Ovis aries: one gene and its partners. The protein of the gene in region 2 purifies or fractionates together with the protein of the main gene of each other region. This does not show direct contact. Links are inferred from orthologs where the notes say so. Each region holds a gene or a part of one and is shown on either strand. Other genes may lie near its edges.

Evidence for each region.
Region 1: the proteins of EIF4B (region 2) and EIF3A purify together in Homo sapiens (co-immunoprecipitation; 3 studies listed by BioGRID and IntAct, with this or other methods). This does not show direct contact. The link is inferred for Ovis aries from reciprocal best matches to the Homo sapiens genes EIF4B and EIF3A.
Region 3: the proteins of EIF4B (region 2) and USP11 purify together in Homo sapiens (affinity purification with western blotting; 3 studies listed by BioGRID, with this or other methods). This does not show direct contact. The link is inferred for Ovis aries from reciprocal best matches to the Homo sapiens genes EIF4B and USP11.

The regions. Positions count from the first base shown.
Region 1 is NC_056075.1:38,780,947-38,784,598, forward strand, and holds part of EIF3A (eukaryotic translation initiation factor 3 subunit A), read right to left. Parts: intron 3,618-3,652; coding exon 3,501-3,617; intron 3,247-3,500; coding exon 3,061-3,246; intron 2,464-3,060; coding exon 2,116-2,463; intron 1,710-2,115; coding exon 1,605-1,709; intron 1,526-1,604; coding exon 1,412-1,525; intron 82-1,411; coding exon 1-81. UniProt on the Homo sapiens protein: RNA-binding component of the eukaryotic translation initiation factor 3 (eIF-3) complex, which is required for several steps in the initiation of protein synthesis.
Region 2 is NC_056056.1:133,403,657-133,407,308, forward strand, and holds part of EIF4B (eukaryotic translation initiation factor 4B), read right to left. Parts: intron 1,256-3,652; coding exon 1,027-1,255; intron 27-1,026; coding exon 1-26. UniProt on the Homo sapiens protein: Required for the binding of mRNA to ribosomes. Functions in close association with EIF4-F and EIF4-A. Binds near the 5'-terminal cap of mRNA in presence of EIF-4F and ATP.
Region 3 is NC_056080.1:57,583,981-57,587,732, reverse strand, and holds the start of USP11 (ubiquitin carboxyl-terminal hydrolase 11), read left to right. Parts: upstream 1-1,001; 5' UTR 1,002-1,019; coding exon 1,020-1,168; intron 1,169-1,726; exon of another isoform or gene 1,727-1,826; intron 1,827-3,752.

The DNA of each region.
Region 1 (3,652 bases), on a different chromosome or scaffold from region 2:
TAAATCTCTGTCCTCAAGCATTCGTGACATCCGGTTCTTATGTTCTAGAGCCTTTTCCCGTTCCAGCTGCATCGTAGTAATCTGCAAACACATGATACAAAGTTAAATTTCAAAGTGCTCATTATCTGATGATTAATTTATCCCAAATTTCTGACAGATATGCTTGAAGAAGTATAAGCATCTCCTCTGCCCCCTCCATTCTGCCACACCAACAGCTCCCTAGGATGACAATGAGGAACAGAAGATGAATAAAAAAAGACCTGGGGCATCTGTAAGAAACAGCTTTAACCTGACGGTACCATAGCACCACTACCTCAATGGACACTGAGTCTGAGCAAACTCCTGGAGATAATCAAGGACAGAGAAGCCCGGAGGGCTGCAGTTCATGGGGTCACAAAGAGCTGGACAGGACGTAGAGACCGAACAAGGACAACCACAAAACTTATGGAGGAAAAACTAAAACGCGTGTGACAAAGCAACAGACCCTCACGGCTTCATTACTGTATTTTCTTCTTCAAAAGCAACTGGAGGGACTTCTCTGGCCCCTCCAGGGAGTATGGGTTTGATCCCTGATCAGTAAACTAAAATCCCAAATGCCATGAGGCACAAGCCAAAAAAAAATTTTTTAATTTTGTTTCAATAAACTAACCTAAAAAAAGCAGCAAATCCTCTCAAGCTTTCTCTAATTTCATGTTAAAAGAATTATCACACAAATTGCGACTTCTAAGAAAACTGGAAAAGATGGTTAACACTAGGCCCAGAATGACAACAATCCAATGAAACCAAGAAGAGGCAGCCACCACAGATATATGTTGTCTCCTGCCTATGGTTTCTTTTTTAACCAAAATGAGGTCACTCGTTTTTACTACAAATCTGGCCACTATAAGCATTTGCGAATGTTGCTTTTGTACTGTTTAAGTACACATAAACAAATAAAACTACTGAAGGAGCTGTTTAGTCTCACACACACAGCCTATATGATTCCGTCTGTAAGAAATACCCACAGACAAGTCTAGAGACGGAAAGGAGTTAGGTGGCTGCTGAAGGAGTGCAGAGAAAATGGAGTGACTGCTAATGGGTATGGAGTTTCCTCTGGGGTATGTTCTAAAATCAGATTGTTGCTCAATTCCATATACTAAAAACATCAATTGCACACTTTAATTTCGTGAATTATATCTCCATAAAGCAGTTTTCAAAAAAAAAAAATAAAGTTCATCTATCCTTTGTACTTTACAAGTTTCATTATTTAATCTCTATTTTGTAGATGTCTACCAACCTGTTTGTATACAGCCATTAAAATACAATTTCTGGCAAAATAATACAAAAATCAATTTGAAACCCTTTTCCCATTACTGGCTTTATTATAGTTTGCTTACAGTCTAAAAATATTACAATTAAATTAAAGCCTTACTCTTTCTTCTTCTTGTTGTTCCCACAGATCCATGTCTTTAATTCTCTGTTCTTCGTAAGCACTCTTTATCAAGGGGATTTCTTCCAAACGCTTAGCTCTTTCAAAGTAGTCAATCTGAGTATCATGAAAACAAATGTTGTTAGAAAAATTCCTTTAACTTGGCACGTTTAAGTTCATCAGTTCTTTCATTTACCTTCTTTTCTTGATTCTTTAGGCGTTCCTGAAGTTCCTTCTTTTCTTTCTCCAGTTGTTCAACCTGTTTAGCCATGATGAAATCAGGATCCAATTCTTCAAGGTCCTGAAAATAAAGAGTATAAAAGTGCATACCAGTCAATATGGAGCACCACTCCTTCCTAGAAATGGATCCTAAATTACTTTACTTCAAAAGGGCATATGCTTACAATGGGTAAATTCAGGCAACAAAAATGTTTTAAAACAGGCTTATTTGTGAGGAAAAACAAAGTAATCATAACATCTACTTCTTATTCCTGTATTCTACTGTATCCAAACTCCATTTCAACAGTGACTAAAAACTGTGGAGTCAACAAACAAATGCTTATTTCATAGACTAATGAACTATTAATAGCTGTATCAAACTGAACAAAATAACCAAAAACCCAAAGTAAACCAATAAATGGTAAAGAATTGTGCTTCTAAGAGACCTGAATAAAACTGGAATTTTAATGCATTAATATGCCACATACTTCAATGTCAATATCTTTGAATGCTTTGGCACCCAGTTCTGTCTTCTTGATTTGCTCCAAACGCTCACGAACAGTTTTCTTCTTGATTTGTTCATGTTCCTGTAAGATCCGCTCCTTCTCTCTCTCCTTTGCCTCCTGTCTCAGCCTCTCTTCCTCAGCCTTCCGCACTTTCTGGAGTTCAGCTTCCCGCTGCTCCAGTTCTTCTTTCTCACGCTGAATATTCAGACTCTCAAGCCGCTCTTTTCTTTCCTCAATTGTCTGACGGCGAGCCAAGATACGCTGGTGCTCTTTCCGTGAATTTTTAAGGTATGCGGTAACAGCCAACTGATGCTGTTCTTCTTTCTCTTGCTTCAAGAACAAATGCATTAAAAATATCTTTAAGTGACATACCACAGTATCCGAGACCAAAAATATTGCTACATACTCCTAATGTATTATCCTAACATGTACTTGCATTTGAAAAGAGAAGATGACATTATTCAACTGCTGGTTTCTAGCACCAAATACTATGATGCTACAACTATTCAAAGTCTTTAACAGCAATGACATAGCTGAAGAACCTTTATCTGCTAGGCCAATTTTTATCTGAACCATGCATACTATAAAGTGTTCAAGCCAAGGAGAAAATACAGAGTTCACAAACAACTTAAACAGAAGGCAAAGGCATGATCACAGTACTCGCTATGTGGAGGGTCATCACCTGTGGTTTATCACTCATCACAGTACTCCTATGATCACCTTAACCTGTTACTCTAACCCACAGAAGGCAGCTCAACGATCTGTGTTATCTGACAAAGATATTTAATAAAATATCAAAAGTATCAAACACAACTAAGAGAAAATATATAATAAATCCCTTCTCTGAGACATCATTTCAAACCTTTTTTTGAAAGACCTAAAGGGCCCCTCATAATTCCGTCATCCATTTCTCCCATAGATGCGTACCAGGATATGAGCTGGCTTAATGACTTCAAGTGCTTTCGCAAGTACTGAGGACATAGCGGTCAGCTGATTTCTTATCTGTTCTGAAGGCATGCTTTGCAGATGAGGACCAATTGGAGCATCTTCTCGAGTAGCGTAATTCAAATCAGATCCAAAACTAAGGGTCCGAGAAGTGTGGTCAATACGAACCTATGAAAATTGAAGAGTATTATCAATAGTTAAATCTACACGCAAATATATAAAGTCTTTACACAAATTAGTACCTTTGATTAAAATTTCAACTGAATTTAAGAAAAAAAATCAACTGAAGAATGTCAAATATCAAAGCTAGAAGTCTCAATTCATTAAAGCTTTAAAGCAGTGCCAAAAGCAGAGAAGCAACGAGTGTGTGTTTTAGTCCTCTTAGGCCTTCCACCGCCTCAGTGTCCCCTGGTAGCACCTACCTGCAGGTCGCAGTGCCTAGCTGCATCTACTATGGCCCGTTCCAGTTGGAAAGCATCAACAAAAGGAACCAGAGAAGTCAAACGAGAAAACTCAATGCTCTGATAAATTTGTGCCACCTGCATAAGAAACACAATGTTAGTAATAATAGCTA
Region 2 (3,652 bases):
TTTCTTCACTTCGCCAGCTCGGGTGTCTGGATAAAAGAGATTTAACAAAATACATCAGGTCCAGCTCAGTGATGGCTACCTTGGACCCATGCTGACCCCTCAAGAACTATCACTTTTTAAGTTTTATCGCGTTGGCTTTATCTGTGGGGGTATAACCTGTCTCTCTTGCTCAAACCATTTGAAAGTGGCAGACATTTAACACACTTGGGTTCCAAATATAAGTATCACTTGCTTCAAAGTTACCTTTATGCCACTTTACTTTTACAAAAAGACCCATATATGCTGCTGCTACCGGAAAGAAATCCTAAGAGGATTCTGCTTTTACAAAAAAGATGAAAAGTGAAAACAGCTTTCAGTGTTGATTTTGCAGCAAGCTTTTTATCTGTTAGCAAAATGTGTCTTAAAATAATTGTTTCTTTGATTTACACCATTTTGGCTTATAAAGTTTTGTAGGAATGCTCTACTTCTGGACATTGGGGAAACCTGTACTTCACCAAGTGTTGGCTGGGGTTAAGAACATTCTCCTACAGAATCTGTAACTCTGTGCTCTGTTATTGACAACACAATTCTGCCAATCAATCAAAAAACCAGGCCTAGTTTTATTGGATTATTATAACTGGAAAATAATTTACAGCCTATACTTAGTACTAGTGAAAACATTCTTTCTATTCCATCTCCAATAACTCGAAGAGGTAAATCCATTCACCTCACTTTGGTTGGATTTTACTCTATACACTAAGGCAGGGTTTGGCAAATTTTTTTCTTAAAGGTCAGCCAAAATTTGCAGATGCTTGTGAGGGCCCAGGAAGCCTTTTGAAAATCATGAGGGACAGGTCACAACTCTTCCCTGACTAAAGAAACTGTCTCACTCACTGCTACTTGGCAGCTTTGGCCCATGAGCACTAAATGCTAGTAAGTGACAACCAGTAACACTCACACAAATTTCCCAAGAGTCCTAGAGACACAATGCCCCGTTAAGAATCGTGGGCTTCGCGGATGGGAAATCTGTCCCTGCAGATCTCTCACCTCTCCCGAGGCCGTCGCTCTAGTTTTGGCTCATCCAGCTGACGCTGCAGTTTCTCCTGTTCCTTCTGTAGCCGCTCTTCTACTTCTCGTTCTCTAGCAGCTGTGTCAACAGGCTTTGCCCCTCCAAAGATAGAGGCTGCGCGACTGGACTGGGAGGTGCTAGCGGAGGAATCATCTTCCTTAGGAGTACTCCGAGGCTTTAGGTTCAGTTTGGGTCTTTGGGGGGGACCTAAGTTAAAAAAAAAAGAAAAAAAAGTAATAGTTTTTAGAAATCACCAGAAGCTGATGGCTAAAAAACAGATTGCCAGATGTATCTCTTATGAAATGCTATTTAGTATTCAGATTAAACAGTGGCCTAGCCAATCCAACAAAGGAGGCAGATCATTAAACTGATCATTTACCATGATTACTATTATCTGGGGGGATTTTTAATTACGATAAGACATTGGATGAAAGTATCTTGTTAAAATATGTGGTCTGGAAGATGAATCATTTTAGTAGGTAGGTTAAGAAGAACTTGTAACACTATGCTGGGGAAGACTCCAGCTCTTATATTCTTTATCTCTGTGTATAATATATAAATTTGATAGGGATTCACAGGGCAAAGCATGCAACAGTGAACACCACAATGTCAACTTTTCTAAAGGGGTCTAATTTCTTCCTGGATCCAAGTTGTCAGGATTTCAGAATATTTCAAGGAGATTGTATTTCTCAAAAATCACTGTTTATCCTAAACATTTCAAACATACAAAAGCTATAGGTTTTACATTAGTAGTTTCCGTTAACTTTTACGGTAACATTTTTCATCTGTATAACTGTCAAGGGGCCACAACCAATGTGGACAGGATACAACTGGAGTCAGAAACAAGAACTCACTGAAGTCACATGCCTAATATAGGGTGGACCAGAAAATGAAATCCACATTATTGAAGCAACTCCACCACTCGTCCCACTGTGGTACACAGTGTCCCCTTCTTCCTCCTTTGATAACTGCATTACCTACTCAACAAATAATCTGAACACTTATACTTCAGATACCATATCAACGCCAGGAACATGAAGAGGCAGAGCAGTGAAGGCCCTTGTCTATGTCAGAGGTACAAAGGGGTATGTTTTAGGCCATGAAGAGACAAAAGAAGGGTTTTAGAAGAAGAATAACCTAATTAGATATGGTTCCATAGACAATCCAAGCCAATGTGAAAACAGAGGGAAATGTAAGTAACATGGGCACAGCAACGACGTCTGAACAGACAATGGCAGTGACCCTGGAGGAAAGGGGGCAGATCTTAGGAGTCGGGGGTGGTGGAGGTGGAAATCAACTATTGGGGGAGGAAAAGGCATGAAAGGCAAAAGTCAGTAGCCGACGAAGACTGCATCTGAGCCTCTACTTTTCAAAGTGGAGACAATACTTGTATAGTCTACCACACTGAATACTTGATCATTAACTCTAGGTGTGCTGTCTAAATCGAATTACAGAGAAGAATTCTGGACCAGATACCTTACTTAAATTTTAATTTTGGCTGTGTCACATTCGGAATCTCAGTTCCCCAACTGAGGTTGGGGACTGAATCCAAGCCAGGACCATGAAAGCCCAGAATCCCAACCACCAGGCCAACTAGGAAGCTCCCAGATATATTATTTCTAAAAATGACATTGCTGAAGTCAGAACAATAAATGGTGGCCATTTACAATATTTTTTGAGAGGTAGAGTTATAATACAACGCATGTTTTATGAAGTGATCATAACGTTAGGGGCATTAATTTTACAATAGGTACACTGACATCTTACCATTAATGAATGAATAGCAACCATTTGGTATAATGGCATTGAAATAAGCAACACTTGGTTTTTAACCCATTCAGTTCAGTTCAGTCGCTCAGTCATGTCCGACTCTTTGTGACCCCATGAATCACAGCATGCCAGGCCTCCCTGTCCATCACCAACTCCTGGAGTTCACTCAAACTCATGTCCATCGAGTTGGTGATGCCATCCAGCCATCTCATCCTCTGTCGTCCCCTTCTCCTCCTGCCCCTCATCCCTCCCAGCATCAGTCTTTTCCAATGAGTCAACTCTTCGCATGAGGTGGCCAAAGTACTGGAGTTTCAGCTTTAGCATCAGTCCTTCCAATGAACACCCAGGACTGATCTCCTTTAGGATGGACTGGCTGGATCTCCTTGCAGTCCAAGGGACTCTCAAGAGTCTTCTCCAACACCACAGTTCAAGAGCATCAATTCTTCGGCACTCAGCTTTCTTCATAGTCCAACTCTCACATCCATACATGACCACTGGAAAAACCATGGCCTCGACTAGATGGACCTTTGTTGGCAAAGTAATGTCTCTGCTTTTCAATATGCTATCTAGGTTGGTCATAACTTTTCTTCCAAGGAGTGTCTTTTAATTTCATGGCTGCAATCATCATCTGCAGTGATTTTGGAGCCCCCCAAAAATAAAGTCAGTCACTTTTTCCACCATCTTCCCATCTATTTCCCAGGAAGCGATGAGACGAGATGCCATGATCTTAGTTTTCTGAACACTGAGCTTTAAGCCAACTTTTTCACTCTCTTCTTTCACTTTCATCAAGAGGCTTTTTAAGTTCCTCTTCACTTTCTGCAATAAGGGTGGTGT
Region 3 (3,752 bases), on a different chromosome or scaffold from region 2:
CTTTTGGTCTCAGAATTCCTTCATATTCTTAAGGATATCCAAAGAGCTTTTGCTTATGTCATGCAGTCTCTGGAAAATTCCATGGCACATGCAATAGAAAATGACCATGAAAAAGTCTTGTTGTGAATAGTTTTGACTTCGTGAACCTGAAAGGGTCTCCTGAACGGGTAGAAAGCCAAAAAGGACCCTAGTTTGAAAATCTCTGGCCTGGAATTTAAAGGTGGCACGTCTGGAACTGGAATTCCTGAGTTCCAACCACAACTCCACGACTTACTAGTGGGGCAAAGTGAATTAACGTTTCTGGTCCTCAACATCCCCATTGTTTCCCATAGGCAACCTGCTGCCTAAGACTACTATTTATGTGCAATAAAACACCTAAACAGGGCCAACTATTATTATCAGTGCTGTAACTCCAATAAAAATATACCTGGCCTGGGGCTGACTTGCCTTCAACACATTTGTCAAGAGGACAAATCTAGTTCACGCAAGGAAGAGGCCCGCAGGCCTGGGTAGCGCCCTGGAAGTGATGCCCTCTTTTGCATTAGTTTCTGATGGAGAAGGGTAGTGCAATGAAGGAAGGGCATCCTGGTCAGGCTTGCAAAAAGGCCGCTCCCAGGATACAGGCGCGCGGTCCTCAGCAGAGAATGGGACCGAAAGGTCCTGGAAGCTTCCCCTGAGCACGCGCCAATATGTCCTCCTTGGGGACCACTACCTCTACTTTCCACACAGTCGTTTGTCCTGACTCAACATGGCGTTAGAATCCCACAAGACACCCTGGTCCTTAGTTCCCAACTGGAGGATTTACCCCGCCCACCGGTGGCGGAAATCACCGCCCACGGGCCTATGCCCACCCAGCCCTTCGACGAGTCCGAGCGCGGGGGTCCCTTTTCAAGACCGCAGTAGCCCCCTGGCTGTATGGGGGGCTCTGCTTCCGTTTCCGGGACCAAAATCCGGAAGTGGCACTTGAGGGGCCCTTCCTAGTCCCAGCTGCGGTGGCCGCTAGAGGAGGGCAAACAGCTATGGCGGCGGTCGCAGCGAATCCCGCGGATACGGCTGCGACTGCGGTCGACGACCGAGAGCCACAGCGGGAAGCGGTGCCAGGCCTGGAGAGCCAGTGGCGCCAGATTGAGAATGGGCGAGGGCGTCCGCTGCAGGTCGGCGAAAGCTGGTAAGGCAGAGCTGAAAGCGGAGCCTCGGCTTGAGGAGACTGTGGGGAACGAGGCGGCGGAGGTCCTTGTGAGAGCCGCCCTGGGGAGGAGGAATGGCCTATGGGACTGGGAACGAGAGGGGCGGGGAAAGCCTAGTCTGAGAAAGAGGTGGGGCCTGTGCGGTGCAGCCTGATAGCGCGGCGCGATTTGGCGTGGAGAGGCAGGGGGCGGGTCATGAGAAGGGAAGGCTGCGGCGGCAGGGCCGGGCCAGCGAGGTGGACCTTGGAACTTGGGAAGGAGGGGATCTCAACAACAGAGCTGGGGAGCGTAGTCTGCGGGGCGTTACGAAGCATCTGGGGGCGGACTGTGACTACTGCACAGCGTCTGAGAACGAAGTCAATGCCGGTGACATCTGGCTGAGGAGCGGATTGGGAGCCGGGGGCGGAGCGGGTGGAGGAAGAGGGAGGGAGTCAGACCCTGCGTGGTGGAGAGAGCTGGAGCCTGGGAACGAGGCTTGTGACGAGGCCGAGGGGCGTGTCCTGAGGCGGTGGAGAGACTGCAGAGGGGAGGTGGTGCCCGTGAAGCAGAAAATGGCGCCTGCGAGTGAGCAAAGCTTGTGAAACGGCGAGGTTTTTGCCTCTGACCAAGCTCATTTTCCCAGGACGGGAGAAAGTGCAGGTGATTGGTACGGGAGGGGCCTTCGATGTTGCGTTTGTTTTCTGTTTTAGTAGTGCTTTGTTTTGTAATCAAGAAAAAACAGCTATTTTAAAAATATCAATGCGTATCTTGATAAATCGACTTGTTTAGTTGCTTTCTTTGCTAACCTCTGCTCGAAATGTACTGTTTCTGGGGTCATTTTATTTCTCGCCGAGCTGCATCTCGGTTTTTAAGTTGTGAAATACGTAAGACCTGCAAAGATTATATGAAACGTTTACGTAGGCCAGGTTGATGGACATTTTATAAAAATAGACGATCTGTACTTTTCAAAAATTTCAAGGTCGGGAAGAACTGTCCCAAATTGAAGAAATTAACGGGATTTAACGAATGCATAACTAAATGCAATGTGTGATCCTAGGTTGGATCCCGGAGCAGAAAAAATAAATTATTTAAAAATCTTTTTTTTCACCTCATAAAGTGAACTTTCTCTCTTTTACTGTAAAAGATATGAATGGGGAAATTGATAAAATGTTTACCAAAGTCTGTAGACTAGATGTTAGTACTGCTAATTTCTTGGTTTTGATCATTGTATTGTGATTGTGAAAGATAATATCTTTGTTTTTAGGACATTCATTTAGGGTTAAAGAACCGAAGTATTTAAGGTTAAAGAACCATTGTGTAAGCAAGCTTATTCTGAAGTGGTTGAAAGAATAGCATATATAAAGACGTATTTAAAAAAATAATGACGGAGTAAGTGAGTAAAAATTTAAATTTGGAGAATCTTGAATGAAGGGCACGCAGAAATTCTTTGTATTATTTTTACGACTTTTCTGAGTCTATTTCTAAGTTAATAATTTAAAGAATAATACAAAATTTGTGAATTAACCACCTAGGTTAAGATTCAAACCGTTACCTTAAGAAATTCTGTGCCGCTCCCTAATGAAAATTCCCCTCCCTGCCACAGGAAATTATTACCCTGAATTTTTGATTTCGTTATCAGTTTCCCACCATTGTATGCATCCCTGAATAGTATTTGTGGTCTAAGCTTTCATTTTATGGGAGGCTATGTGTGAAATCAGACTGGCTGCGTATCGAGTACCCTTTGCATCATATCATGTGGGTACTCAGTATCTACATGACGTCACTTGATCACTTGGTGAAGGTATTTGCTGGGTTTCTCCACTGTGCTAGTACTATTTTCCTGTTTCTATACACAGTGATTCTTTATGTTCATCCTTTCCTCAGAACGTTTCAACAGTCTTACTGCTTCATGCAGTGTAAATGCTAAAATTCTTACAGTGACTTGCAGGGCTTTACCGTTTCCAGGCTGGTGTCTGGCTGTGATCGTTTCTCCCATCTCTCTTCAGATTACCCTCCCCCCTCATTTTCTCCATCCGGCTATATTGGACTCTTGGCGTTCCTCCATCGGCGCAAGCAAGCTCTCACCTGAAAGTCTTTAGGATAGGAGTGAGGTTTGCTCCTTTTAGAGTTCTTTAATCACAGTACTAGCGAAATACATATTCCTGTTCCTGGAAAGACAAGTTGAGATTCCCCAAATCGGAAATATGAAACCAAGCAGTTTTACTTTATAGCTCTCCAGCAAGGTAAAGCCTGAGTCCATCTTGAGAGTAAACAACAACAACAGAAATATTGCTATATATATAGCCCATTTGGAGGTGTTCAGAAGGGCTTGCAGGCTTTGGTTCCTGCCCCATCTTACTTACCTTTACAGCCTTGTGACAATAGCTTTTAAAAGTATCCCACCATACCAGGTTTCCTCTTGGTGTGTTGAAAATGTTTTGGAAGTAGATAGAGTTTGTGGTTGCACAACACTGAATGTACTAAATGCCACTAAATCGTTGACTTTTAAATGGTTAATTTTATGTTATATGAATAATAAAATTATGATGTGTCAATAAAAAGTTATCCCATCAATGTTGGTTAAGC